Linked DNA regions of Astyanax mexicanus. Each later gene encodes a partner of the first gene's protein in a complex. Links are inferred from orthologs where the notes say so. Each region holds a gene or a part of one and is shown in the gene's direction. Other genes may lie near its edges.

What was found.
Region 2: the proteins of tubgcp6 (region 1) and tubgcp3 are in contact, whole or in part, in a cryo-EM structure (PDB 6X0U), measured with the Homo sapiens proteins. The link is inferred for Astyanax mexicanus from reciprocal best matches to the Homo sapiens genes TUBGCP6 and TUBGCP3. Residues at the interface, in NP_065194.3 of Homo sapiens: Pro65, Arg67, Asn68, Leu71, Met72, Ser74, Phe75, Asp76, Arg78, Asp87, Glu90, Asp151; in NP_006313.1 of Homo sapiens: Pro9, Asn10, Val11, Leu13, Gln14, Glu25, Ala26, Ala29, Gln30, Phe32, Gln33, Val36, Arg37, Ile39, Gly40, Ser41, Phe43, Thr129.
Region 3: tubgcp6 (region 1) and nme7 share a complex: the UniProt entries of both Homo sapiens proteins name them as parts of the gamma-tubulin ring complex. The link is inferred for Astyanax mexicanus from reciprocal best matches to the Homo sapiens genes TUBGCP6 and NME7.
Region 4: the proteins of tubgcp6 (region 1) and mzt1 are in contact, whole or in part, in a crystal structure (PDB 6M33), measured with the Homo sapiens proteins. The link is inferred for Astyanax mexicanus from reciprocal best matches to the Homo sapiens genes TUBGCP6 and MZT1. Residues at the interface, in NP_065194.3 of Homo sapiens: Met1, Ala2, Ile4, Leu7, Phe8, Asp10, Leu11, Cys12, Ala14, Leu15, Pro17, Ala33, Leu37, Val40, Ala41, Ala44, Leu45, Asn48, Ile70, Leu73, Lys85, Arg88, Leu89, Leu92, Val93, Glu95, Leu96, Leu104, Leu105, Ser109; in NP_001065243.1 of Homo sapiens: Asn17, Ala20, Val21, Thr24, Val27, Leu28, Glu30, Ile31, Ser32, Ile34, Leu35, Asn36, Thr37, Leu39, Glu42, Thr43, Leu44, Ile46, Cys47, Arg49, Leu50, Cys51, Glu52, Gln53, Ile55, Asn56, Pro57, Glu58, Ala59, Leu60.

The regions. Positions count from the first base shown.
Region 1 is NC_064409.1:46,359,640-46,367,053, reverse strand, and holds the start of tubgcp6 (gamma-tubulin complex component 6), read left to right. Parts: upstream 1-4,399; 5' UTR 4,400-4,606; intron 4,607-6,393; 5' UTR 6,394-6,431; coding exon 6,432-7,220; intron 7,221-7,414. UniProt on the Homo sapiens protein: Component of the gamma-tubulin ring complex (gTuRC) which mediates microtubule nucleation.
Region 2 is NC_064428.1:26,418,661-26,426,348, reverse strand, and holds the start of tubgcp3 (gamma-tubulin complex component 3), read left to right. Parts: upstream 1-4,685; 5' UTR 4,686-4,844; coding exon 4,845-4,920; intron 4,921-7,605; coding exon 7,606-7,688. Other genes in the region: atp11a (phospholipid-transporting ATPase IH), read right to left, coding at 2,551-2,589. UniProt on the Homo sapiens protein: Component of the gamma-tubulin ring complex (gTuRC) which mediates microtubule nucleation.
Region 3 is NC_064412.1:46,691,673-46,699,318, forward strand, and holds the start of nme7 (nucleoside diphosphate kinase 7), read left to right. Parts: upstream 1-4,624; 5' UTR 4,625-4,754; intron 4,755-5,022; exon of another isoform or gene 5,023-5,116; intron 5,117-5,232; 5' UTR 5,233-5,350; coding exon 5,351-5,353; intron 5,354-7,646. Other genes in the region: zgc:172121 (homocysteine S-methyltransferase YbgG), read right to left, coding at 633-794, 889-992, 1,850-2,022, 2,131-2,198, 4,153-4,224. UniProt on the Homo sapiens protein: Possesses an intrinsic kinase activity. Displays 3'-5' exonuclease activity with a preference for single-stranded DNA. Does not seem to have nucleoside diphosphate kinase activity.
Region 4 is NC_064428.1:31,769,681-31,776,553, reverse strand, and holds mzt1 (mitotic-spindle organizing protein 1), read left to right. Parts: upstream 1-3,858; 5' UTR 3,859-4,131; coding exon 4,132-4,183; intron 4,184-5,471; coding exon 5,472-5,617; intron 5,618-5,987; coding exon 5,988-6,017; 3' UTR 6,018-6,451; downstream 6,452-6,873. Other genes in the region: bora (protein aurora borealis), read right to left, coding at 308-460. UniProt on the Homo sapiens protein: Required for the recruitment and the assembly of the gamma-tubulin ring complex (gTuRC) at the centrosome.

The DNA.
Region 1 (7,414 bases):
AAATACTTTCAACACCAGAATAATTACATTCTATTAATTACAATCCCTTGTGTCACATTGTTAGACAGACATCTGATGTCTAAAAATCGAGTGTAAGATCTGATATTTTTATTCTTGTCTGTTATTGAGAGTGTGAGAGTCTCACAGTTAAAAGTCCTTAAAATAACTTGCTGGTAAAGGAGAAATCCAGTGTGAAATGGACTTGGGGTGTCGTAAAACATTATAATAAGTACAAACTTTTGTCGAATAGCCAAACTTTGTTCACCCCAACATTCTGAAATACAGCGCTTTTAGCCGATGCTCCCAACAGGCTTTCAATACTAGAGATTGGGGCATAATATTTAGCTTTAGCTTTCTTGGGAACATTCTGAGGATCCTGACATTTAAAACGAGGCACTGAGAACTTTAATAAGTGCCCATCTTAAAATTACGTCATTGACGAGTCCAAACATATAGGTTAATAATGTAGAAATATTTTCAGCAAAAATTGGAATTCATAAAGTTCCATGGCTTATCGACTTATCGTGACTTAATTTCAAGATGGTGATGTCTGAAGGAGGAACTACCTCAAGGTACTGTGTGTATAAACTGTGTTTTTTAATAACCTGTTTTAATAAATCTGTGCACTTTCAAAGTTCTCACTGCCTCGTTCTAAATGTTAGGGTCCTCAGAATTATACAAATACATTTTGGAGCTACTTTGAGCTTATAAATGGTGTAAAAATAGCCATTTCTTTGCATGGACAATGCCCCTATCTCTAGCATTGGAAACCTGTTGGGAGCATCTGCTAAAAGCGCTGTATTTTGGAATGCATGAACAGAGATGGGCTATTTAAAACAAAAGTTTGTATTCATTATCATGTTTCACTACACACCAAGTCCATTAAAGGGTTAAACACTACAGAAAGCATGAGCAAGAGAGGTCCCCTCTGCAGGACATGAGGGCTCAATTTAACCAAAGGAACAAATCTACACCAAAACAAATGCAAGACCATTTAAAGAAATCTTTGCTGTTATGCTAAAAAAATGGCAACTATACAGGAGAAGGAAGAAGACTAACTGAACTTCAATTAAAAAAAAATATTCCAGCTCATTTTGGAGCATTTCTGTTGGTCCATTCATTGTGACATATTGACATGGTGTGAAAAATAAAACTGCCAAAAAAAGTTTTTTTTTTTTTTTTTTGCAATACAGCTATGACATTAATCTTCAGCCTCATACTTCACACAGACTAATGAGCCTGGGTCTTTTTTTACTTATATTCCTTACAAGGAGCACACACACACTGCAAATATATACGCACATGTACACACATCTCCACAAGGAGCAACACAGACCTTAATTAAACTAGAAAACCAGAAAAAGCAACTTGACAGTTGTCATGATTAATATTGCATTGGTTGACCACAAACAGATGCTGTGGGTGTGTGTTAGCAACACGCCAGTGCCTCTCATCGGTGTGCGATTGTGTTTGAAGCCAAATTTTACAGAAACTAGCTTCACTCTAACAGTCCCATTTACCTCCATCTCTCTTTCTCTTCACATATACATTGATATGCCACATCAGGTATTAGTATTCTGTCCATTGACTTTTGCTATATCCCAGGAAATGTGTGTTCTACTGTGGATTTTACTTGTCAGTTCATACGGATAGTTCTAGCCAGTGATTCATTACTACTAAATGCACTGTTCACTGTGGTTGGCCTTCTATGATGTATTGCGAGCGGTATACACAACACTGTGGATTAAAGAACGTTAAATGTCTTCACATCTTCATAAATGAAATGTCCCACCCCTTTTGCACCCACTATCAGACCTCGCTCCACCTCCAATAATGAGCACACTCCATGAGCACACTGGTAAATATTCAACTTAATACATAAGATAGCACCTCACAGCATATATAGGTGTGGCTCTTGCCAAGCCGTGCACTGAGGTTATATTTCATGATCAGTTTGCATACTGCTGTTATTCTATGACATTTGGCATGTCAGTGTATTTCTCTGTCTCTATCACAGCATGTGAGTCATGCTGGCAGAGAAGCTAATCTAGCTAAACCATTATACCCAAATAAAAACTTGTAATTTGGAGAGAAAAAGAAAAAAATAGAACAGTTTGAGTTTTTCTTTAGTGAATCTTGGAGTGAATTATAAACACATATATTGAAATGCTTGAAAGTCAAGGAATTAACTGATTATTCAGTAACTTTAGTTTACGATATTTGCTAGCTTCAGTTGTCTCCAGTGCTAACCAATATGTGTTTAGGTTTTATATAAGGAGCTTTATCCAGTTATCAAGGATAACACATTGTCAACACTTTAACCCTAACCTTAATATCTTCAAAAATCTATGGATAGAGCAGTGCAACAAGATCTCAAAATAGCTAAAATCCCCCAAGCAATAAATAAAAATCATGCTGCCTCCAAAAATGTCTAAATGCTATGTTACTTGCCAAACAGAGTGTAACTAAACGATCGTGTAGAGTGCCCAGACTTTTCAGCTTCTTTGCCATTTCCTTTTTTTTTATTGCAAGCTGTAAAAATCGTGGGTTCATCTAATCTAGGGTGGTTTGTAACTTATGAATTTAATACATCTTGAAAGGATATCTGTTTCTGAGCTAAATCTTAAGCGAATGCGGGTCCTGCAACAAGACAATGACCCAAAGCCAGAGGTCTTAAGTCGCAGGAGTCAACCGCATATCAATAACGGCTCTCTGATGTTCTCTTGCAGAGAACAGGTCATTCAGTTTTTAGTGTGGTACCTCTCAGAAATAATTTTTTTGCAACTTGGGATGTCTGCAAAGCACACAAATCGTTCATACAAAGAATGAAAACAGAAGAATACAGCTCATGTTTTGGAATGGTCAACATCCTGACCTTAATCCAATAAAAAGATGACCTAAAGTAAGCAATTAATTGGTTAAGGAAATGGACGAAAAACTCTTCAAAGGAAACACAAATATTTAGTTAGTAGTTATTGCTGCACATATAGTTTCACAATAGCGATCAAACTAGAGCTTAGATCAGGTCCAAAAAAATCCAGCCCTACCTGGCCCGAGCCCATTCTGCCCGAGCACAACCTGACCCACCCCATAAACTGTTATTATGTGCCCAAGCACATAAGGCTGTTTTAATAAGCGAAATCTGTTCATAATGTTATTTAATTATTTAATTTCAACACTGAAGAATCATAGACCTATTATTTAAGAAAAATGTTTGTTAAGAACCGATCTTCGAAAGATTAAAACTGAAAAATGATCCACAGGCCTAAACATTGGTAAATTGGGCTACAAGGATGATGTCTGAATGATTTCCCTTTAATCTAATATATTTTAACATGGTTTAAGAATTTTAAATACTTTCTAAACAAATTTACTTTTTGGTAATTTACTGGGTAATTCCGCGCTGTTGGGTCAGAGAAAAATATGAGAAAATATGCTGTAAAAATACGGCCGGAGTTCGCTGTTGTTGCACAGAAAATAGTCCCCTCCCAATCTCTAAGCTAATGCTAAACAAAAGGCAACATGCGCTGTGTGACATCAGAGTTTTCAGAAAGCTCAGTTTTCCCTGTCCACAAGGCTCCGCCTTGAAAGGCGTCTTTAAGTGCTCCGTTTTCAGTGACTGAAGTCGCCGTTTTTGTGTGGACGGAAGGCCAAAACAGAGAGAGAAACCAATATCCAGCTTCGTGTGAACGGGCCCAAAGTGCGAAATTCAAAAAAGCAATAAGGCTACGCACTGCACAATCATTACACCGAAATAGACCAAGAACAATAACATAATTTACAATGACTTTCCTCTACTTTAATATAATTAGGTTCGGCTCGGGCTCGGGCAGATAGATAATCTAAATTCTACATCAACCCAGCTGAAAAGGAGGAAAATGATTTAACTTTTGTTTGTTACATAAAAATATATATTACATAAATATATGTAACACTGGATCATTTTCCTCAAAAATTAAATGAGCATGTATACTAATTTGTTCTACTTTTAGGACTTCGTAGGAAATCTATGGAAGTTTTGAATTTATCGGTAAGAAATACAGAATTTGCTAAAGGTTTCACAAACAAGCCACACTGTAAATAGAAGAAATAAATAATGATAACATTGATTAAAATATCTATGTTTAGGAACGTTTAGTCTTTGGCATTAATGCTCTGACTTTTGGATGCTACTGACTAACCTGCAGTAACAGTATTTTCAGAGTTATTAGCAGTGCTGGTTTAGCAGTGCAGAGAGTTACTGGTAATTCCTGAATCATCCGCAAGTTGGCGCGCTTTTAAACCGGAAGTGTTCACTACCAGCTTAACTGTCTTATCCAATCGCAGCTCAACACAGAGAATTTCACCCAATCATGCCCCAGGGAGGGAGGGGCTTTGAAAAGTCGCGCGGTCGCTGAGTGGAAATGACAGGAAATAACAGCAGTAGTGGTGTTTACAGTGTGAATGAGAGTAGAGACGCGGTTCTGGAGCTTTTCTGCTGTAGCGGCGGGCTGTACTGAGACCTGCCGCCGCTGCAGCTCCGCGGTCGGGGCTCATGGAGCCGCTGTGAGCCGGACTGGAGCGACAGACCTGCAGCTGCTGCCCAGAGGAAGCGCGGAGAGCCCGGGTGAGAACCGAGAGCAGAGCCGCCAATGTCCTCCTACTGCTGGAGCTCAGAGTAGATAAACCTCCGCGTTTAACAATCTGAACAGAACCTGCTTCACTCAGACAGAGCCGGAGAACTATATAACAATAATAACACCATAACACACTCACTCACACATACAGCTGAATTATAACACTCTATAAACCAGCTCTTCTGAGAGGCCAAGTGACCCGCTAACATCACTAGGTTAGGTTGGCTAGCTAGTTAACGGTTGTTCATCTTGTTAAATCTTGGAGAAATATAGTTAACTAGCTATAAGCAAATGTTTAATAACCTCCCTCATTCCTGATGTATTCTTTATATTCACTAATAGAGGCAGAGTATGTATGTTATATAAACTACACTGTCTGTGGCTGTGTTTCATCTATTTTGGCTCTGTAAACAAAATATTTGTAGCATTATCTTGAATTAATGTATATTTATTTAAAATATTGCCAATATTATTATGCCATTATCCATGCTTTAATAGTTATAACCTTATCAAGTGATGCTCATACAACATGTGAATAAAGTAAAGTTATGAATGTAGAATAAAGCTCTGGGAAAGACATGATTTAAAAAATATATAACAGTGCCATTGTTTGCATGTTTAGTAATAAAATATTTATTGTTTTCATATACAAAATGACAGTATTTGTCAGTATTATATTATCACACCCACCCAACCACCACACACATATCTATATATAAGCATATAGTCCAATACTTCAATACCAGTCCTTATCGATCATGACTCATCTGCATAAGTCTTCAGTTCTGTTCAACCATATTCTTATCAGGGGGTGTATTGAAAAGAACATGGTACAATATTTACCTGTAAACTAATAATGCAGGGTTCTTTCACACTTTTCTTTTTTGGTCTGGACTTTCAAGCATTCACTTTGGACCAAAGTAGCAGGTGTGAAAAAGGCAGCAAGCCACAGTCTGGAACAAACAACCAGAGGTGTTCTCCGTCCAGATCTTCTGAACCATGGTCCGGTTCACCTCCAGTGTGAAAACATGTTTCTAGATAGTTCTGACTTTCTGACCAATTGCAGGTAGTTGAGGCCATCTTTAAACAAAACAAACGAAAAAAGAATCGTGTGTGTGCCAAAATCCGACCCTGCCTGGTGTGCAGGTACATCATGCAGCATTATAGACAAGAATGCTTAGACTGGCAATTAATTTATTTACTGTAACAGTAGATTATCCCTTATTTATAATCAGGAATAAAAGAAATCTGAGGATAATATAGTCTTTTACACTCAATTTGCTTGTCAAACTCATAATTTACATAATGTTCTACAAACCAAATAATATTAAGCGTAGAGAGACTCATGTTCACATAGCTGATAACAACAGGATGTAGTTTTTTAGTCTGCTCGCCAAACTGCAGTGTGAAACCAAAACCTTGATGAACCGTTCCAGACTTTAAGGTGTCAAAACACCCTAAGAATCAATACTGTTTTTGAAAATTGCTACTGTATTGCAATACACTATCTCAATACTTATAATAATATATTTAACAATTAATCTATGAACTCTAGCTGAAGACAATTTTAAACAAACTGTATTCAAAAGGAAGTGCATAAAGAATAAGCCAACATTAAACAAAACACTTTTAGCAGTTGTCATTCCTGCTAACCAAAATGTATGTACTTATTTTGACATAGGCAAAGTAGAACTAGCCAGTAAAATATGCAAAGATTTTTTTTTTTAAATTGAGGCTTGTAATCATAATGTATCTGTGCTTGTGTTTTCTCTTGCAGGGCAGATGATCCACTGATCTTAGTGCCAGTACCTCACCATGTACTGCTGCCAGAGTTCTACTGAAATGTCCACTTGTTCCAGCAGCAGCATTACAGAGCTCCTAGGGGCACTGTGTGATTGCAGCCTGTCTGGAGTATCATGGAAGCGCCACTCTATGGGCAGCGTCTCGAGGGAGGCGTTCCGCCGCACCCTCCGTAAAAGAGCCTACGGGGCACTGCTGTCCAAACTCTTCCAGGATGGCTCTTCCAAATCCAGCCTGACAGCAAACGCTTTGGCCAGCACTCCCGCCTACAACAAGATGCTGATGATCTCTTTCGACCTGCGTGTCTCTGGCCACACTGAGGAAGCGGAGAGGCTTGAGGGCCTCCTGGCGCAGCTCCGTGAAGTGGCCCTCTCGTCTGGCCTGTCCGAGGTGGACTCAGTCCTGGAGTTCCTGGTGCAGTTAGCCGGTTCAGTTCCTCCTCCAGCACTATCCTTCAGCAGAGACTACATGCGGCGGGACCGGCCGGTGCTCCGCAGACCACCGCTGGGGGGTTATCTCAGTCAGGAGATGCAGAAACTGGAGAGCAGGGCGTGGGCTCTGGTGTGTGAGGAGGAGTGGGGGGCATTTGGGGGTATGTGTAGGACCCTAAGCCTAATGGATGCTCTACCTGGAACCGGTCTTCCAGGCCTGGGCAGGAGAGTGGAGGTGGAGGAGAGATTTGAGAGGGACACCAGGCTGTCCTTGTTTGGAGCCCTGCAGCACTTCAGAACAGCAGATCTAGACATCCGGCTGGACCTGCCACCGGTGCCCAGCAACGCAGAGGTCACTGGCCTCACTATTCGGGTATGTAAACAGAAGCTTAATATAGAGAGAGAAAGAAATACAAGAGAGCAGGTAAAACTAAAAACAAAGAATTAGCTTTTAAATTCATACAGAGCTTATAAAATTAATTGCCACATTGTGACAGACTATTTTTTTCTTTATTTGGCTTATTACCTTTTAACAGACCAGTGATGGATTTATCTGTTTTCATTTTG
Region 2 (7,688 bases), on another chromosome or scaffold:
CGTGCTGCCTAAGTGAATGTAATAAATGTTAGCTTTATTTGAGTAGTCCAGTCACTATAATTACCTTATCAGCTTATCATACAATTAAACAGATATGACTTCAATCATTTTTACTGGCCTTGATATATTTCATTGTGTTCACCTGCATGGTTGTTTAAATACAAATAAACTGTTTTACCAATATTATAGCCAGTCGTGCAATGACCAATACATATATCAATAACAGAGCCTACATAGAGACAGATCTCCTGAATATTAGTTAATCATCAACTATTATTAGTAAAACATTATTGCCCTTTAAAAATGTGTAATTGTTTTATTGTGCCATAATGTTATCACCATATCAGTAATAATAATAATATTCACAATTATTTCTAGGACAATATATGCTTTAAAAAAAATGAAGTTATTGTGACTAAGCACATTTTTCTTGTTCTTTCCAAGTCACCTCAAAAAATACTGGAAAGACTGTCATTAGCTCAGTGCTATAGCCTTAGCTATAATTACACACACACTACACCCTACAAACACACTGACCTACCCAGAATACCTATCAGTACTCTGGAGAAATAAGCTATTGAGCTAATAAGCTAATAAATAAGCTAGTCACCTGCCTTAAAAAAGCTGCTTTTCTACAGCAACTTAAAATATTCTAACGCTTCTTCTCACATTCTTTCAAAAGGTGTTCCTATCAGAACAGATTTGTGGGTTCCGTTCATTAGCCATGCCAAAAAAACATAGTAAATAAAAAAATAATTTCTGGTTAAATGGTTAAAACTATTATATTGACACTTTTTTGTCACATTGCCAAGAATACTGTGATCACAGAAATACCCCGACATATTGTGATATTATTTTATGGGCTTATCTCCCAGGACTTTTGCAAACTACAGTATATTATTATTCAACTGACATTCTTCTCCTTCGTTTTCTTCTCACATCTTCTTATTACATTTCTGCCAAATTGTCACAGCGTGACAAATCATCACTTTTTAATTTTCAGAGCTTTTTCATGGGATGCATAGTTTTCATATAAATGAAGTCATGACTCTTTTTTTGGGGCGGTCCTGATGATTGTTGATTTTTGATGGTCTTTGCAACTGCACTCGAGAATACTTTTAAAGTTCTTTTCTGTACTTGCCATAATATGAATTAGAACATTACTCAGATACTCTAAATCACTTTATATGTTTTTCTAAATAGTAGTAAAAATGTAGTATATTTTACTACAATGCAGACCATTTTTTTTTAATAAAGAAAAACAATTAATGTACTTAGCTAGAATGTTATATCATGATATGAATGTTGGCAAAATCTTCCAGCCATACTTAGCTAACTAGCTAACTAGATAACCTAGCTAATACACATTAGTCACCTAACCTACAGCTCTGGAAAAAAAATCAAGAGACCTCTTCAGTTTCTAAATCAGTTTCTCTGATTTTGCTATTTATAGGTATTTGTTTGTTGTTGTTTTATTCTATAAACTACTGACAACATTTTTCCCAAATTTCAAATAAAAATATTGTCATTTAGAGTGTTTATGTGCAGAAAGTGAAAAGTGGCTGAAATAACAAAAATGATGCAGAGATTTTAGACCTCAAATAATGCAAAAAATAAAATAAAAAGAGTTCATATTCATAAAGTTTTAAGAGTTCAGAAATCAACATTTAGTGGAATAATTCTGTTTTTTTTTCATGCATCTTGGCATGTTCTCCTCCACCAGTCTTACACACTGCTTTTGGATAACTTTATGTCACCCCTGGTGCAAAAATTCAAGCAGTTCAGCTTGGATTGATGGCTTGTGATCATCCCTCTTCCTCTTGATTATATTCTTTATAACGGAAACTGTAGCTAGTTAACATTTTATCATGATATCAATTTTGGCAATAACGTCCAGCCATACTTAGCTAATTAGCTAACTAGATAACCTAGCTAAAACACATTAGCCACCTGACCTGGGTTACCTTGGTTACCTAGCTACATACAGCTGCTAATATATAACCTACAGTAGTAGCCCACTACACTACTACTACTACTACTACCACTGTCTTTATTATTTTTCTCTCTCTAGTATTTACATAATAAACCCTGGCATATGACTGTCTCAATTTGTTACTAAAGCTATGGATATACATTAATTAGCTGTGTGCTGTGTGTATATCAATTAGGTTAGTTAACGATAACCTAGCTAGCTGCTGTTTTTAGCTAGAGAAATATGGTGCTCACACTGGGGTTTAAACGGCTTTACTTATTAGTAAACTAACTAGCTAGCTGCTGTTTTTTAGCTGGAGAAACATGGTGTCCACGTTGGGGTTTAAAGGGCTTTATTTATTAACGTTAGTTAATTAACAGGCAGCAGCAGCAGCTTCAGCCTTCAGTCCTCCTGCTTCCATTCACATTCAGGAGAGTAACGTTAGAATAAAGAGAGAAAAAAGGAGAAAAGAGAAAGACGGAGAGAAAGAAGGGGCAGACCAACAAGTTGAACAGGTTAACTAACCTAGGTAACGGTTAACGAGGTTAGGTTAAGTAGGTAACGTTAACGTTACTCACGTATCTGCTGATGAGGTTCCTAATGGTGCTAAAATCCATCTTCTCCTGCCGGTCAACACCACCGCCTGCGTGTTGCTCCTCAGATCTTCTTCAGGCTGCGTGTGTGTGTGCGCGGTGTGTGAGTGTGTGTGTTGATAGAGAGGTGTGTGAATCGCTAGCTGATCTTCCTCTGCTGCTCCATGTCTCTGTTTCTGTCTCTGCTGCTGTGTCCGCCGGGACTGATACACACTGATACTGAGACAGCAGCAGGGCTGCACGGCTCTGACCGGGGCTTTATTTCTCTCCAGGTCGCGGTGAGAGCGCAGCGGCGAGTCCGGGCTTGCTCATGTTGTCTCGGGGCTCCGTGCGCTCACCGCCCCGCTGACCGCCGTTCAGTCTCCGAGTCTTCCAGCAGCCCTCCTCGAGTAGTGCTGAAGGAGGCAAGCTAGCTAGATACTTCTTCCTGGACAAGTGTTGCGTTCCAGCGGCTCTGCCGAGTCCTGTCCCCCTCTCTCTCTCTTTCTCGCTCTCCTTTTCTCTCTCTCTCTATCTTTCCCTCCCTCCCTCTCTCTCTCTCTCTCTCTCTGTTTCCCACCCATACACAGTCTATGCTCTCACCCCAGTACTAGCCCTCCATGCACAACCAATCACAGCCCTCTCTCCAGGAGCGTCACGGGGGGCTCGAGGCGCATGCGCATTCCCAGCCACTCCCACACCCTCCTTCCCGCCCTAACTTAGCAAGATGCTGTATTTATAAGCAGCTCCATAATACAGTACAGTAGCTGGGCCAGTATAGGTGTTGGAGTGAGCTTCAGAGCATGTAATCCACTAATTATAAACTAATTTACTGCAATCAAGCAATGTTCCAACATCCCATGTATTTTTCGTATCACTTTTGATTAATGTTTAATATAATAATATAATACTCTAAATGTTCTTTTAGAGCATCTCACACAAATCACTTGCCGAAAAAAATAAGTCTAGTTTTAATACAATTTAATGTTTTAATTGTTCTATAAATATAAACACTGAAAAAGATTTAATGTGAACACAATGTATTGTACACATGTAACACATGTAATGTACAATGTATTGTACACATGTAACACATGTAATGTACAATGTATGTGTTTATCTAGGTTGCTAAAACAGAAAAACGTATCATAACTGTTATACCGCAAATCATGCAACGCATTTCCAGAATGGTGCAGTGTGAGCCGCAAGTTTAATATATAGACTAAATATTTAAACTCATATTCAATAAAAAATATGTTATGCAGATATAAGTATACGGTAGCGGTCAAAAGTTTTTTACTGTTAATTTAATATTAAGACATTAAAGCTTTACATGAATGGGGAACTATTGTTAGTATTATTATTATTATTATTATTATTATTATTATTATTATCATTATTATTAATAAACAAAAAGTGTTAAACAAACCAGAATATTTAGAAAGTAAATTTTATTAAAATTAAATTAAAAGAAAAAAGTTACACTAAATAAGAAGGTGTGTTCAAACCATAAACTGTTACTGTACATATACACTATAGAAGTATACTAATACTAAAGCCAATGTGATTTAATAATCATAAAATGTAGAAAACAGATGCTTCACCTTTTTTACTAGCATCTAAAATACCGTGCAAATAAATGTGATTAAACTCTGTATATTTAGTTAGTTTTATATTTAGTTTAGTTTTGGGCAAAACAAAAACCAGACTGATACAGGTATTGTCACTGTCCATTAAAACCTTTCTAGCTATCTATTTTATTCATTTTTTGTAATTCTTGTAATTTAATAGTAACTTGACAAAATGACGCGGAATAAGCCATTTAATGTATTGGGTTATATTGCCCTTCTAAAAAACGGAAATTTGGAAATTCATAAAAATAAATATTGTGGACCTCCATAATAAGCATCAATTATAATAAGCAGTATCATTAGCAAAAAAATCTTATTTTTTCATAACAGTTTTTTTCAGTTTCTAAATGCATTATGTGTCTTTACTTATGCTTTCTGTGTGTATTTATTTATTTGATTAATTCATTATAACCTATCCCACAGTGGTCTGGATGTTCTTTTATCGGTAGGAACGAAAAGCTCGGAACCCTCGATGAGCGCTTGTTTCTCAGTGGGCCGTATTTTCACTCCGCCGTGTATTTTTTTCCCGCTCCGTTTCTAACCGAGGCCGCCTTTTCGGCGGGTTGTGTTAAAATGGCGAGCCGCTGGAGGAATAAGGAGAGCGGGCAGGACTAAGGTAGACCCCCCGGACCCCTGCGCTTCGTCTCTGACATCCAGAAAACGGGCAGGATGGCGGCTCTGGACCAGAAATCGCCCAATGTGCTTCTGCAGAGCCTGTGCTGCAGGATCACAGGCAAGAGCGAAGGTAACGAGCAGCGGAGCTAAGCTAGCTAACCTGAATAAGGTCCTCTATAGCCAGCGTTTACCACCGCACAGCTGTCTGAAAACACACGACTGCTTCGTGTTTAATGTGTGTGTGTGGTCGTTTTTCTTCAGCTGGACCATTTTTGACCATTAATGAGCTGTTTATCGCTGTCTTGCTTTAAGAGTTTTGTGAAAACGAGAAAACTGCAAATGATAACTGGGAACAGAGCTGAGAAGAGAATCTCTACTAGCTAGCTAGGTTACTGTCTCTGTAATAGTTTAAATTTAATATTAAATGTAATAGTTAAAAGTTTATAATGTTTAAAAGCATATATTGGCTATCTTTCTATCTTTCTCTCTAGTTAGCTAATTAGTTTCTCACCCGCTGTGGTCCATATCTCAAGCATCTTATCCTGGCTAGTTAGTTAGCAACCTATCTTGTCCAAGCTAGCCCAGGTTGCCAGATTGAATCAGAGAAGCAGTAAAGATACACTGACATGAGGAGTCAAACGCTGCCATTTAGACATGCATGCATGCATTGCTTTGAATGGAGTGATGGAGAAAAAAAATACAGTGCTCAGTGCAGACACACCTTCTAATCAGTGACTCATCTAGTCATCTCAGGATGCCACAGCTTGTATAATCTTAATTAAAAAGCATTGGCAATAGAATATGATGCTCATAAGTGTCACCTGTTCTACAGGAACTTTTTACCTGAGCAGAGAATCACCTCTCTAGAGATTCTGGCGTATATAAAACAAGTAGTGTCACTTGAAAAGGATGCAATGGAGTATAATGCCATTTAGGCCTGTCATGATGATTTTTTGTGTGTGTGGGGATGATATATTGCAATAAATTATATTATTGTCTTTTTAAGACCATATAAGTGCCACTGACTACAAAATGTTAATTAATCTTAGATTGGAAAATATATATCCTCTTTTTTGCGCCTTCTGCATTGGTCGTTACTAAAATACTGTTCACTGTTTTTATATCACAATCATCTAATATTATTAAGGGCATGTCCATTTATTGTATAACAATTCAAAAATATTATTATGTTCATGGCAGATCTAATGCCAACCATTAATTTGAAGATTTGAAGAGTAAAGGTATTTTCAGCACACTGGGAAGTACTGAAACATTTGCATGCAAGACTAATTTAGATATGCTCAAAAGCCAGGCATGAGCTGCAGGAACTAAGCTGTTAAGTTTTGGAAAAATAAAAACACCCAGACCTTTTGGAACAGCCAGGGAAATTTGATCTACACATTTTTGTGTTTCCATTTATGAACAGAGAAAATCTATTTTGAGCTAACAAATACATCGGTAAATCAAGTAATTTAGACCTACACAATGGTGCTCTTAGGATTTGACATGCATTTTACTATTAAAGGTTGTGCGTCAGATTAATTTAAGGCCTACTATAATCCAAATTTGATTATAGTTTTAGTTTGTTTTTGGTTTTATTGTTTATGCATTCAGTGATGTTTTAAAAATCGTTTGATCATAATAAAATTTGTCTTGAAGGCATAGAAAAGTCATGAAAAAAATCGTGAAAATTTATTGGTTAAAAGTTGTATGAATCTGGACCAGAATTTGAATCAAGGTTTATGTGTACATACATTTGGCCTGCTTTGTTTTGGTTCTAGACTAAATAAATAAATAACTTTGCTGCATACCGTTGTCGTCACCTACTATTTTTACAATTTGATTGTATAATGTTTTAATTAGGCGAGATGCCTTTACAGATCCTTTTGCTAGAATTCAGCGTCCCTTCGCCTGCCTGCACGTCCCACATCAGAATGAATGTAACTGATTAGCCTCAGATCACTTATCTCTGTTTGCAAGTACAGTTACAGTAGATACAGTGATTGCCAGTGTAATCAGTTCTGATGGAGTCGGAGGATTTTGGCACAGCACCAGTTCTTTTGCTTCTTCTGTTGCTGAATGGTTGACAAAGTCTAAAACATCTACTAACTAACCAAACTCATGTTCCAATTGATACAAACACCACCTTTTTTGGTCTAAAGGTCCACACCATGATTTGCAGCACCTTTTACACTTGCTTTTACACAAGTTAAATGTGAAAGCAGCCTAAGTTGTGAAGTACAGGAACTGTGTGGACCAATCAGGACTGATGGCACTCCATCTACCAGTCCAGAGAACTTTTAAGGAAAGCACTGGCAATAGAAAGGGATGCTCTGGGCCCATCTGTTGTAGAAGAGTAGAGACTGGTACTGGTACAGTAAAAGTGGGACACTCACTATTTCTACTCCCTTGTTTTTTTGGGCACATATTGCTTTCAAGGTAGTTTCATAATTATATTACAAGTTGTCAGTTTCCATACAGGACAGTACATTTGGCATTATCGACTATTGTATGTCAGCAGTAAAGAGATTTCTGCTCTGAAAGCTCTTCAGTAATATGACCCTCCTCAGAAAATGAGGTAAAAACGATTAGATAAATGCCTGTAGGATAAATATAGACCCCATATATGGCCCTTAATTTAACATCATTGGATGCAGTATTGATTACGTTAGCTACAGTATGTCTGCTTATTTGACATGGCGTCTAGCTTTATACCTTTTTATGTTTGATTTGTCTTTTATTGGGGACAGAAAAAAGGTGCCTTTGGGATGTTTAACACGTGCGTCACTGAGTTCTCTGACCTTCTTTTTTCCAGCTGATGTGGCGTACCAGTTTCAGTATGCTGTGCGGGTCATCGGAAGTAATTACGCCCCGACCATCGAGCGGGACGAGTTCCTG
Region 3 (7,646 bases), on another chromosome or scaffold:
GGAGTTGGAGTAAGGGCTGATAGTGGGTGCAGGTGAATTATGGGAGTTGGAGTGAGGTCTAATAGTGGATGCAGGTGAATTATGGGAGTTGGAGTGAGGTCTGATAGTGGGTGCAGGTGAATTGTGGGAGTTGGTGTAAGGTCTGATAGTGGGTGCAGGTGAATTATGTGAGTTGGAGTGAGGGCTGATAGTGGGTGCAGGTGAATTATGGGTGCAGGTGAATTATGGGAGTTGGAGTAAGGGCTGATAGTGGGTGCAGGTGAATTGTGGGAGTTGGTGTAAGGTCTGATAGTGGGTGCAGGTGAATTATGGAAGTTGGAAGTGAGGTCTGATAGTGGGTGCAGGTGAATTAACATACCTCCATCCACAGTGTCATGTGTGTAAAAGAAGCACATCATAGAAAGCTAATATTACCATCCACCGGCTAGAATTGTCTGTGTGAACAGAGACTAGCGGCTCTGAGAGAAATTTAGATTCCTTATCCACATTCAATGCAGGAGACCCCACCCACATATCATACAGCTCAGTGCAGTTCTCTTTACCTAACATGAAACATGCCAAAAGTCATGGGACACGATACTAGTTCCTGCCACATTACTTTTGGCAGTTGAGTGTGTAGACGGCCTAGGTACCTTGCAGGAGAAGGACATCCAGGCTTTAGTATTAGGAAACTCCCTCAGCAGCCCCACTAAAGCTTCCACCTCTTTAAGGCAGGGTATGGTCTCCAAGGCAATGAGGTCGGCTTCTGCTGCCACTAAGCAGCGGACCTGTGGGCGGTGCCAGTCCTTCAGCTCCTGCAGTGACAGGAGCATGGGGTTTGTGCCGGGTCTGAGAGTAATTAGCTAGCTATTAACTCCTGTATGAACAAAGTGATTTATTCAGGCTTACCTCCACACTCATCTGGCTCTGATAGTTTCCAGTGTACTCTGACCCATCGTTCAAAAACGCCCCGTATGGACCCACAGAACCAGCCACCAGTGGCACTGCTCTGTCTGTGAACGTTTATCAGAATAAAAAGTTGTCAGTGAACATAATCTACAAAATTAAAGGAACAGTATGTATTAAATGACAACAAGCATATACAAATATCTAATGCAGTATAATTTTAAAACACTAGAGAGAGTTGACTGCCACTAATTCTCCTCCACAGACTGCAGGGTTGAAAGCAAATCAGTGCAAGATGAGATCAAGTATAATCATATTCAAAGCTAAACTGAGTCAATATAAATTCAATTTTTTGTTTCTGTTGTATCTTTGTGTACATTAGTCTCTGTTGAGTTAACAGCTGTGTCCCGTCAGTTTACCTTAAATACATGACTGCCTTGATAACCCAGCTGCACTCAGCTGAGCACTGAGTATAAATGCTGTGAAAATGTTGAAATTATCTTAAATGCTCATCCCTGAACTAGCGGTTGTGACAAATTACCCAGCTAATGTTAGATGAAATTCAGCACTACTCTGTTCTGAAGAGAATTAGCAGTATCTGTCTTGTAGGCAGAGCGTGGGGCCAGAGGCTAAAAGACAGAAATATTCCACCTTGTGTTTGGCGGTATGACGGTATTTCGGTACACCACGGTTTTTTAAACATGGTGGAAAAACTTCAATACCGCTCAACCCTAATTCCACCCAATAACAAACAGTTCTAAGGAGATAATCCTAGAACTTAAACTTAGCATTAGCTTAGCATGTTACTCGATCATGCATCCAGTCTAATTTTTCAGTTGCTACAAAAAATAATACATACTGGTCTTTTAATGATCTCAGATAGCCTCACGATTTTTTAACAATGTCTGTCTGCCTCTGAAAAATATTCTGAATCTAAATTAAACGGCTATGCTAACACACACACCTGCTGCTGTACAGTTAGTGGTAAAGAGCGCTGCAGTGTCTTTAGCGATCTGAACTCCGGATATTAGTAACTCCTCAGCCTGTTCAGGTTTCAGCTTCAGGTGTTTGAAAAATCCCTCCAGAGTGGCCTGGTACGTAGCTGTGGTGATGACATCAGATCCACTCTGAAGAAACCTGCGCGCAAACACAGACACACACAGAGGAAACAAGCTCATCATCATCCTCACAGTCTGACTGCAGATTCAGACACAATGAGGGAAGAATGAAACATGCTGGAATTACCTGTAATGCACATCTTTAATGGCCTGTGGGTCTGTGTAGAGGACTTTAGCGCTCCATAACGGATCCTCCTGCAGAAACATGTCCCAGAATAAAAAAAGATAATGCTTTATAAGTCCCACAGAATCATAATCAAATACTAATCCTTTACAGTGCTATGCAAAAGTATTCGGCCCCCTTGAAATGTTTAACGTTTTGCCACATTTCAGGCTTCAAACATAAGATATGAAATTGTTATTTTTTGTTAAGAATCAACAACAAGTGGGACATAATCATGAAGTGGAACAAAATGTATTGGATATTTTAAAATGGGGCGTGCAATATTATTTGGCCCCTTTACTTCCAGTGCAGCAAACTCACTACAGTAAGGATCTCTGAATGATCCAATGTTGACCTAAATGACTGATGATAAATAGAATCCACCTGTGTGTAATCAAGTCTCCGTATAAAACCTCTGTGATAGTCTCAGAGTTCTGTTTAAAGGGCAAAGAGCATCATGAAGACCGAGGAACACACCAGCCAGGTCCGAGATACTGTTGTGGAGAAGTTTAAAGCCGAATCTGGATACAAAAATATTTAATAATGAATAATATTGCACACCCCACTTTTCAGTTTTTTTATTTCTAAAAAAAGGAAAAAATATCCAATAAATTTCGTTCCACTTCATGATTGTGTCCCATTTGTTGTTGATTCTTCGCAAAAAATACAATTACATATCTTTATGTTTGAAGCCTGTAATGTGGCAAAAGTTTGAAAAGTTCAAGGGGGCCGAATACTTTTGCAAGGCACTGTATCCTTATTCAATGTTTTTCTTTTTTTCTTTTTTTATTTATTTTCTACATTGTGGATTAATATTAAAGACATTTGGCTTCCACAATCCCCGATCTTAACCTGATCAACTGAAATGGTGATTTGGCTACTTAGAAGAATAAAATAGAAGTATAAAACAGATAAAAACAGATTCTGGTTTGTTTAACACTTTTTCTTAACAAGATAATTCCGCATGTGTTCTTGTATAGCCCTAATGTCTTCAATATTACTGTAAATAATACAATATAACTGTATTATTGTAAATGAAAAATAAAAAGTGAGAATAACTGCAATTATGCAATATTATTTTTATTTTATTATTTAAAGTGTTTATTTGACCATATTACCAACTAAACACTTTGCATATTCAGCTTTATTTTTGTATCATATTTGTAATTATTTTAAACCACAATTTAACAAGCTGGATCACTGACTTAAGGTACAAATGTGTTTATTATTTTTATACTGCTTGTTGCAAAAGAGATACATATTACAAGGTCAAAAATACAATCTGAACTATACTAAATACTTAACATACTACAACCTAAATAAAATGAAATAAACTTTTAAAAAGAAAGTCAACATACAAGAGCATTCACATTAATGAGCTTGCTATACTAATTGCGACCAATGAATAATCTTGAGGTCTGCAAAAATGATTGAGGTTATGTTTGTGTATTATATCATAGTCAATAATTATAGTGACAGGCCTAGTAGTGATACTGCACACTGTTATGGTAACAGATAGTGGTTTCAGATGTTTAATGCTTTAGATTTCATATGTATACGAATGTAAGATTGAGACCTCTACAACATTATTTGACAAATGTGACCTTGTAATATGTATCTCTTTTGCAACAAGCAGTATAAAAATAATAAACACATTTGTACCTTAAGTCAGTGATCCAGCTTGTTAAATTGTGGTTTAAAATAATTACAAATATGATACAAAAATAAAGCTGAATATGCAAAGTGTTCAGTTGGTAATATGGTCAAATAAACACTTTAAATAATAAAATAAAAATAATTTTCTGCCAGGTTTTTGTCGGGTCTGAACACTGATTATAGTTAATGTGATCAAATAATTCAGTATCATATTTTCTATGTTCTGTTGTTTTTCCTGTTTTTCTTAATATGTTCCCTGTAACACACCCCTGGTGTATTTTTTGGTTCTATTCTCCTATTCTATGTCTGCTTCTCTAAAGCTCTCAGTACCTGTAGATAAAATCCTCTTTCCTCCAGTTCTGTAGCCAAACCCCCGTCCAGTATCAGAGGCTTGCTGGTCATGCTGGTCTCCTGATCGGCCTGGGTTTTGATATACGAACTGTTTAAGATTTTAAACTCTGCTTCTCCTCGCAGTCAGTCTATAAAACACACAATATATGGATGATATTCATAATTATAACAGTAAAATATAACTAATTAAATATATTAATATCAAAGTCTCACTCTTAACTAAGCACTTACTGTAACTGCAGCTCATACTGTCCTCCTCTGCTCCAAACCTGTACTAAAATCCGCAGAATAAATATTAATCTTAATCCCATTTTAATCATAACAAAGTCCACGTGTGAGCGCCGGTCATACTACGAGCTACTTCCGGTGTTCTGTCGAGTTGTGCTACGCATCGACATGTGCTACTTAGGGGCTCTCCGCATGCGCGACCAGATTTTAGTGTAGCTACTTATTACTTCCAATTTTAACAAGCAGATTATACTATCTGAGTTTACTGCGTTAAAATTAAGTCGTTAATTAAGTCGTTAAGAGAAATGTAGTCACAGCTGGTGTTTGTTTGACTATTGTATAGATTCAGTGAGGTAAACTAAATTAGTAAATGAGTGCTGTAGACAGTGGTAGCATGTTAAAATAAATAAAGTATTTGAAGTACTTAATAATAATTTAAGATGTAAAAATATTGTCTATAATTCAGATTTTCTGAGCATTCAGCCCGTCTAAATTTCCTGTTTCTTGTTTTATTTAGCCAGCTTTACCAAAAAATTAATTTGCAAAAAAAAATGTATGATACATGTATGATATATGTATCACACATAACCTTATCTGTTCTTGCAAATTAAGTATTTAAAGAAATATACATTAGGGTTGCAGACTTTCGTAAGGTAGTAACATTTACTGAATAACCTTAGTAATACAAACTAGAAGGAAACGTGTCTGTTTGTTGGTATAAATATATTTATTTTGTTATTTCGTATTTAATTATTATTATATATTATTTTAAATACAACTATTAACTGACATAAATGGACTTTTATTTCTTGTATGGGTTTTTGTTGCTAGGAGACAAGGCTGATAGGCACGCTGTGGGAGAAGCAGTTTTAGCCCTTAGCTGCTAAACAAACAACAAACCACCTAAACCAGCCCAGCCCGAGGATACTGGAGAGCCTGGATTGCGAGAATGGTACATTACATTACTGCGGGAGGGGAGCTGGGATGGCATGTTCGGTACTTTAATCGCAGTTAAAGAGTTTATAATTTTATTTCCGGGTGGATTAATAATCAGCGCTAACACTGGCTAGCTGCAGCTGCTGCCAGAGCGCACGCCTGTCTGTAGCACTGTTGTTAGCTATCTTAGCTAGGCTAGGTTAGCTTAGCTATAATAGCTGCTTGGCTAACTCGCTGAAATTTTACTGTTTGCTCCATATATTTGCCATAACTGGCACTAAATGCTCTGATAAATATCAAATTACTTCTGCACAAAAGTTTGTTGTAAAAACTCGCACTGCCACTTATCTGCATATTTACACCTTCTGTAGTTAATCTAGCTTACTGTTTATGAACTTTATTCATTTTTACCAAACCTATTACAGTGTTACTCATGCTGCACAGTAATGTTCTTTAATATTATTCTACTGTATATGTTATTTTTCAATTCTGTGTATTACTGTCTACTTGCACTGCTCTTACAGTTCAACCCTTGTTCTGCATTGCTGCTCCTAGTCTATGCTGCATTTCTTTAGCAGCTGTACAGCTCTGGAAAAAATAAGAGACCACTTCAGTTTCTGAATCAGTTTCTTTGATTTTGCTATTAATAGGTAAATGTTTGAGTAAAATGAACATTGTTGTTTTATTTTATAAACTACAGACAACATTTCTCCCAAATTCCAAATAAAAATATTGTCATTTAGAGCATTTATTTGCAGAAAATGAGAAATGGCTGAAATAACAAAAATGATACAGAGCTTTTAGACTTCAAATAATGCAAAGAAAACAAGTTCATATTCATAAAGGTTTTAAGAAATCAATATTTGGTGGAATAAACCTGATGTTTAATTACCGTTCGATGCATCTTGACATGTTCTCCTTTACCTGTCTTACACAATGCTTTTGGATAACTTTATGCCACGCCTGGTGCAGAAATTCAAGCAGTTCAGCTTGATTTGATGACTTGTGATTAATTTGGTAAAATTAAAGAAACTCATAATTTTTAAGTGGTCTCTTATTTTTTTCCATATATATTGTTACTACGTACCACCTGTTATGGTTACTACGGCACTTAATGTAACTAACACTGTATATTACACTTCTGGTTAGATGCTAACTGTATGTCATTGGCTCTGTACCCGTGCTCTTCACAATGACAACATTTAATCTAATCTAATTTAATAAATAGTTGTTTAAGGTCTAGGTAGAGCTAAAATCAGAAATCAGGAATATTAACTTACATAATTCATGTAAACCAACATTATGTGAAGTAAATAATGCTCACACATTAAAAAGGCCTAGATGCAGCTCATTCATTTTTCCACGTGAACTAAACCTCCACTAAAATCTACAGAATTAATATTAATCTTATAATTCCAATTTAATTATAACAAAGTCCCCATCATAATTCCACATAATAAGAAGCTAACATAAGTAATTATACATGCAGTATATGAATGAATAATGCTTGTAATTAGTACAGGAAGAAAAGCCTTTAGACTTTTTTTTTTCCAAACCTTTAGACTTTTTTGGGTTCATTTTGAGACCATAAATGTAGGCTTACGTTAATCCTAATAGTGCTCAACAAAAGCTTTGTTTGACCAATTTGCAAATTCCATAATACAAAAATGTTGTTATGTTGATAAAAAGAAAAAACATGAACACAAATCCAAATAATAATAATATTAATGTTAATGTTATGTTAATGTAATGTTAATGTTAATGTTAATATTAATAATAATAATAATAAGAACAACAACAGTAATAATAATAATAATAATAATAATAATAATAATAATAATAAGAAGAAGAAGAAGAAAAATCTTCCTAGAGTTTTTGTTATAAAGGTTTTTAAACAGGACGTGCAGCATCTTAAACCAAAAATAAACAGTCTAGGTTATTCTGATTTTGTGTTAATTAAATTTCACTAGCAGGAATGCTAGCAGCTATATGTTTTTTTTATATGGTATTATCAATGAAAGAAAAGGCTGTAATACACTTATTTCTCAGCTCGGGTTCTCTGATAATAGTGTGGGACTGTTCATGGGTTGCCACTAGATGTCAGCTATACCCTATTATAAACACAGCTACAGGTTGATCAGCTTTGTGGTTTTGTATTAATACCAGGTGCAGTAGTAGTTGACAGTTATGGATATATTAATTCTTTTTTTCTCTTTTTTTCTGTGATTGTTGAAAGTGTTCATTAGAAATATATATCTATTTTCCGAAGAATCACAGACAGCCAAATATCTGTAGGTCAGTAGTTTAAC
Region 4 (6,873 bases), on another chromosome or scaffold:
CATCATAACGTCATTTGCATTTAATAGTCTTAAAATTACAAAAATATTGTGAATCGCAATAATTTCTGGGACAATATATCGTCCACAAAAATTCTTATCTTGACAGGCCTACAGCATGGTCAAGATTGGTCCAACTGGTTGTTTAGCTTGTTTAAGACCAGTTACACCAGCTAAACTAATGCAAACAAACCCTGTACTGGTCAACAAGCTTAACCAGCTTGTCCGTCTTGTTTTTTCAGCAGGTTAGATACATTAACAATGGGGTTGAAGACAATGGCCTGGTAGGAAACCCGTTGTGGTTACTCACAGCTGACGAGGGCTTGGCGCACTTGAACACAGAAGGGCTGGGGACGAGGGGCTCGTGCAGGTGGTGGTAGTCAGTGGGACTCTCGAACGGATTACGGATGGACGGCCTTCCTGGAGTTTCAGGAGTGATCTGGACCTCAACAACATCTCCCATCCTCTGTGCTGAACGATCTTCACCTAATGCTGCAGAGGAAATCCTCAGGCTTTTAAAACATGAGGCAGGACAGCAAGAAACGAGGAGACAGTTAGATCAGGGAATGCTAATGGCTCACTTCACACGTTCATATTAGCTTATTAAATCAATGCAGAACCATTCATCAGTGATGATAAATAGTCCCATACTCTTAGAAAAAACATAAATACTCTAATTAAAATGTACTTAAAGATGCAATATGTAGTATTTTCCTATAGCTATGTTATATTATCTTTAACTAATGTGTTGCAGAGTGACAATATGTTTTATTAAGAAACAAAGATTTATTAAAAAAAAAAAAAAAAAACACAAACAATGTCATTATAAAAGATTGTCATTTATTGGTATATTGTTGAGTAATATTTATTTTTGCTGACAATCATTATTCTATAGGTATTTTGAGTTTAAAGGATATATGAAGAATGAATAAGTACAATTTACATGCAATATCTGCACAATTATACAAATAAAAATGTAATATATATATATATATATATATATATATATATATATATATATATATATATATATATATATATATATATATATATATATATATATTACTTTTTTTGTTATCAAAAAGTAAAATAACAGAATTTTAAAAAGTGTTTGTAAGCCCTTCATATTGGCTTTTGGTACTAAATTTTGGAGAAAAAAAACTGGTATGAACTTTATTATTTTTTATTTATTTTGTGTTGTAAAGAAGAAATTAGTTTTCATTCATTTATTCAATTTTTTTTTTAGTTTTTCCTTTTCTACTCCTCATAATCTAAATTTTAGGAAATTTAATTCAAGTATATATTTTTTCTGGATTTTTATATTCCCCCCATCTTGTAATAGAAGCAAGTTTGATTAGATCAGATTTTCTGTAACGAAATGCAAAAATGGAAAAAAAAAAAAAAAAAAAAAAAAAAAACATGAATAAAAATTGTTTCAACCTATTTTTCTTTAAATTCAGATTGCAGACATTAAAAAAAATAAGAAAACAAAAAAAGGATTTCAAAAAAAATATTTTCTATATTTAAAAAAACTTCGCACCAAATCAGAAAACTTAACTGTAACCCTTATACTGACAATAAGTAACATAAGAGAAAATAAGAAAAAAAAAAAAGAGATTTTATTTAATTTTAAATTTTGCGTAAAATTTTGTTTGGAAAAAAAAGTAGGCCGTAAATGGGACAAATTTAAAAACTAGGAAATAATACGAAAAGAAATAAAAAAGGACATAAGTACATTATTTATTCATTTATAATTTGTAACAATATAAATATAATTCTAGCAAAAATATACAGTAAAAAATAAATGTGTTGTTTAGCTTCCTTTTTCAAGCACAACAAATTCAGATTTTTACTTTAAAAAAAAAAAAGCTAATTTTAAACGTTACAGTCCCAAAATAAGTTAAGCAAAGTTTCTGGGTGTGCACGTCATTTTTAAAAATTAATAAGATATGGGTAAAAATAAATAATAAAAACAATCAATCAATCAATCAATCAATCAATCAATCAATAAATAAAAAAATATATATATATATATATATATATATATATATATATATATATATATATATATATATATATATATATATATATATATATATATATATTAGCATTCATAAGAAACTTATTTTCTTTAGTTTGGTCTAGTTTTTTCCCCTAGTCAGTTAGATTATTTAACTTACTTATTTAGGAAATTTCCTTTATAACACTGCAGCCCTTAGAGCTCAGCTCTGAGTAGTTAGTTAGTTAGTTAGTTAGTTATTTAGTTCGTTAGTTAGTTAATAAGTAAGTGAGTAAGTAAGTAGTACCAGTACAAGCGATTAAACTCCTGATTAAAAAACTCTAGCGCTTAATTCATCATTTATCTGCCTCATTCAGAACCGGATCAGTAAAGCGAGGTGTGAACTGCTGCTCTGTTAACCGGATTAAAGCGGATTTAACCCGAATAAACTCATAAAATCCTTAAAAACACAGAAAACACAGAACTCACCCTGACCTCCTCCTCGCTCCTGTTTCCTAGCCTGCTTTTGGTGTTCAAACGTTTGATTTAATTTTTGCTCAACGCACGCCAGCCAATCACAAGCGCGGGATTCTCACAGCGACCAATCAGAATCATTGCTCGGTGTGTGACGTCGTTTCCGCTTGCTCGCTTGCTCAAGTCCGCAGCTATGAGAGAGTCTGTATAGAGGAGAATACCCACTGCAGAAATGAATGGAAATATATGGAGCAACTGAGCAAAATTACAGTGTATTCATTTAAAGGAGTAATCTGGTGTAAAATGGACTTGGGTAGTGAAACATGATAATGAGTACAAACTTTTCTTGAATAGTCCTCACCTATTAGCCAAAGCAAAAAAAAAAAAAACAACAGGTTTACAATGCTAGTGATAGGGGCATAGAGTTTCTTATGAGAAATCACTATTTTTCAAGTCAAGTCCAGTCTAGCTTTTTTTGTCAATACTGCATATGTACAGGACATACAGAGAATTGAAATTACGTTACTCTTCTTCCAAAAGTTACAGCAAGTACAGCAAAATAATATTATAAATATAAAAGGATTAGACACACTAAATGTACAATACAACAATGTCACAGATAAGGACAGTAGGACAATAGTGATGGGGGATTAAAGAGAGAATGACAGTACCAGATTAAACAGAACTCGTACAAACATTAGTGCAAATATAGAGGTATAGAAGCTTAAGGCTGGTAAAGTGAATGAGTCCATACACTTCTTTAAATGCCACAGTCATAGGGGGAAACAGTGGGTATGGTAGTGCAGGTATAAGCAGTAGTGCAGGTATGGGGTGTGTGAGGTCCTATTAGTTCTTACTAAGTTTTTACACCATTAACAATGTCAAATTAGCTCCACACTTTATTGGTAGAATTCGTAGTTCCTGACATACGAGACATACGACAAACGAGGCACTGAGATCTATCTATCTGTCTGTCTGTCTGTCTATCTATCTATCTATCTATCTATCTATCTATCTATCTATCTATCTATCTATCTATCTATCTATCTATCTATCTATCAGTCTGTCTGTCTGTCTGTCTATCCATCTATCAGCTCCCCAAAACTAACACTAGCAGTAATGCTAGCGTCTTTCCAGCATAAAATCTGTTCCTGAAGACAAATGTAACCATATAGAAATGTTTTCTTTAGTGTTGTACCACAACTCTCTTAATACTTTCCAAAATTACAGAAATATCACAATAAAATAGTTAACTGCTATTTTTATTTAAGTTCTTAGCCCTTTAGCTTCATTCACTTCCATTTTTTGAGGTCTCACTCGCGGGCTTCCCCTAGCGGTCAGAACTCATTTACTGAATTTACTATTATATCTAACGGGTGAGATGGGAAGTGGGCCGTCTCGCTGTAAACCGGCTGTGGTGTTGAAGCTAGCTAACGCTACAGTAAATGAGAATAAACAGCTAACGAGCAGGTTTCTGCAGTTTATAGACTATTTTTATGAGTTTATTTAGACTAAATAAGAATTTAAGTATATAGTTAAAGGGTTAAAATTGAAACACGTCGGACAAACCCGGAATATAACGACAAATAGCGTGTAAATAGCTAAAGTTAAATAGTTTGTTGTTGCTGGTGCTAACGTTAGCTCGTTAGCTTATCGTTGTGATGGCCAGCGCTGCCAGTACCAACATGAACGCTGTGCGGGAAACGATGGACGGTGAGGAAACAGAGTTATTTAATCTATTTAACTACTGATTTTTTTTAATATTTTCTGTTTAATAATGTCCTTATATTAGTGAAATCCTATACAGAAGGCTTGCTAAGCTAATAGCGAAGCGAAGCTAACATAACCTGCATAGCTTACCCACCGCTCTATGTATCTGTCTGGCTGTAATGAGAGTGTTAAATGTGATTTATTATTGTTTTTATTTAACTGAAGTTTTTCTGTAATGTTGTTTGTTTTTTTCTCAAGCATAATATTTTCTGTTATTAGTCTAACATCTAAGCTATAGTGTTCACTTCATTACTAATTCATTAAAGGTTAATAGAAGCTTGTAGAAGTAACTGTTACACTAGGGCTGCAACTAACGTCTATTTTCATAGTCGACTAATCTGTCGATTTTTTCCCCCATTTGTTCGATTAGTCACGATTATTATTAATTTGGATTTCTTCATATTGTTTATTTATCAGTCACAATTATTTTTCAGTTTGGTCGATTAGTCATGATTATTATTGTATTTGATATGGTGGCTATTGTTTTTTTTTTTATTAGTCACGATTATTTTCTGATTGGTCAGTTAGTCACGATTATTATTTTTCTGTTAGCCAATTGGTCGCTGTTATGTTTTTTTTTTTTGTATCAGTCACAGTTATTTTCTGGTTGGTCGATTGGTCACAGTTATTATTATTATTTTTGATTGGTCAGATTATTCTCCATTTAGCCAGTTAGTCATAATTATTATTTTTCTATAAGTCGATTGGGCGTTTCTTTATTTGTTTATTTCAGTTAGGCTTCAGTTAATCACGATTATTATTATTTTCGATTGGTTGCCATTGTTTATTCATGAGTCACGATTAGTTTCCGTTTTGTCAATTAATCATGATTATTATATTTTAATGTATTAGTCAGTCTAATATATTGGATTAGTCATTTGGTTGCTATTATTTATTTATCAGTGACAATTATGTTCTGTTTGGTTGATTAGTCACGATTATAAGTTTTCTAGTTTTCAATTTCAAAGTTAATTGGTCTCTATTTTGAATTTTTTTGTTTTTATTTACCTATTTTTTTGTCACAAATATTTTCAGTTTGGTCAATTTTTTTTTTATTGGTTTCTATAATTTTTTTTATCAGTCATGCTTATTCTCAGTTTGGTTGATTAGTCACAATTATTAGTATCATAGAGAATTGTCTTGTGATATATCAAGTATTACAGCATCACAGTATTAGGATGTGATACTGTTTTTGTAGACAGTAACCTTGTTCTTTTTGTCTGTTTTTCAGTTCTGCTGGAGATCTCCAGGCTTCTGAATACAGGGCTGGATATGGAGTCCTTGTCCATATGTGTTCGTCTGTGTGAGCAAGGAATCAACCCTGAAGCCCTTTCATCAGTCATAAAGGAGCTACGCAGAGCCTCAGACACACTTAAGGTAACTTAAGGTGTAGTAACATAAGATAACAGAAACTGCCCACTCTGCCAAAATACCAATTGGTCTTATATAATGTTCTAATTTTCTGAGACACTGTTTTCTGGGTTCTCATTGGCTGTAAGCCATAATCATCAACAATAAAGGAAGTAAGCACTTAAAATAGATCACTCTGTGTTTAATACATCTATATAATATATGAGTTTCACATTTTGAACTGAATTACTGAAATAAAGTAACTTTCAATTTATATTCAAAATATACCACTTAATAAAAATGTGATGATCAGGTTTATAAAAATAAAAGGGATGAGATGTGCTCAGTCATTAATGAACTAACATTTCCCTATTATGTCTAACTTGATCTGTTCCAGGCCTCTGAAAACAGCACAAGTCAAGGATGACCTGCGTCTATAGTGTCTCCACTTCTAAACCCTGTAGTTGAAAAATCGTTTAGAATGAATTCTTCCAGAGACTGATTTATATTAAATGATGAACCTGAATGATGGTATTTAACCTGTTCTCTGTGCACATCGCTGGTTACATGCAGTGCTTTGGAATGGGAATTACTTTTTTGGTGGGTTTGTTTTTCCACATCAAGCCAAACTACCATTTCATCCTTGGTTTCAGTCATCCTTGCTTTTTTTATCCACTGTTCAAAATCTTCAGCTCCCTCCAGTTTCTGAGAAACTCAGTGTGATGGCCTTCCCCATGTGGACTTACAGTAATGAAGCTTTGTGAAGAAGAAGTGTTAATATTCATCTATTGTTTGTAAAAACTCATCTTTAATATAAATGTTTGTGTTTTTTCTTACAAATAAAACATGTAAATTATTGTATTCCACAATTATTTGGCTCTCTTATTTTTTTATCATCGCTGTCCAATAAAAAACACTTATCTCCAAAACAGCAGCTTTACAGGAGAGAGAAAAAAACCTTGTAAACTTTCAATGGAAGTCAATGTAAAAAGAGTTTATTTCAGGTTATTTTCTATTGGTTCGTTCATCAAGAAATTGTGGCACAGTGTGAGGGACAGTTTGTCTGTTCAAATTATGTAGTAAACTAAAAAATGAACAAAAATGGAGATAAGTGTTTTTCATAGGACAGCGAGGATATGATGTCATTTGCAGGGATCTGTGTTTGCAGCAAGTGTCCACTAGTGGGTGACAAAATACAGCAGAAGATAATGTACCACACTGTGTGGTAAATATGGTAAAGTTCAGTGGTTTTCAGTCCTAAACCTTGAATATCGCTGCTCTAC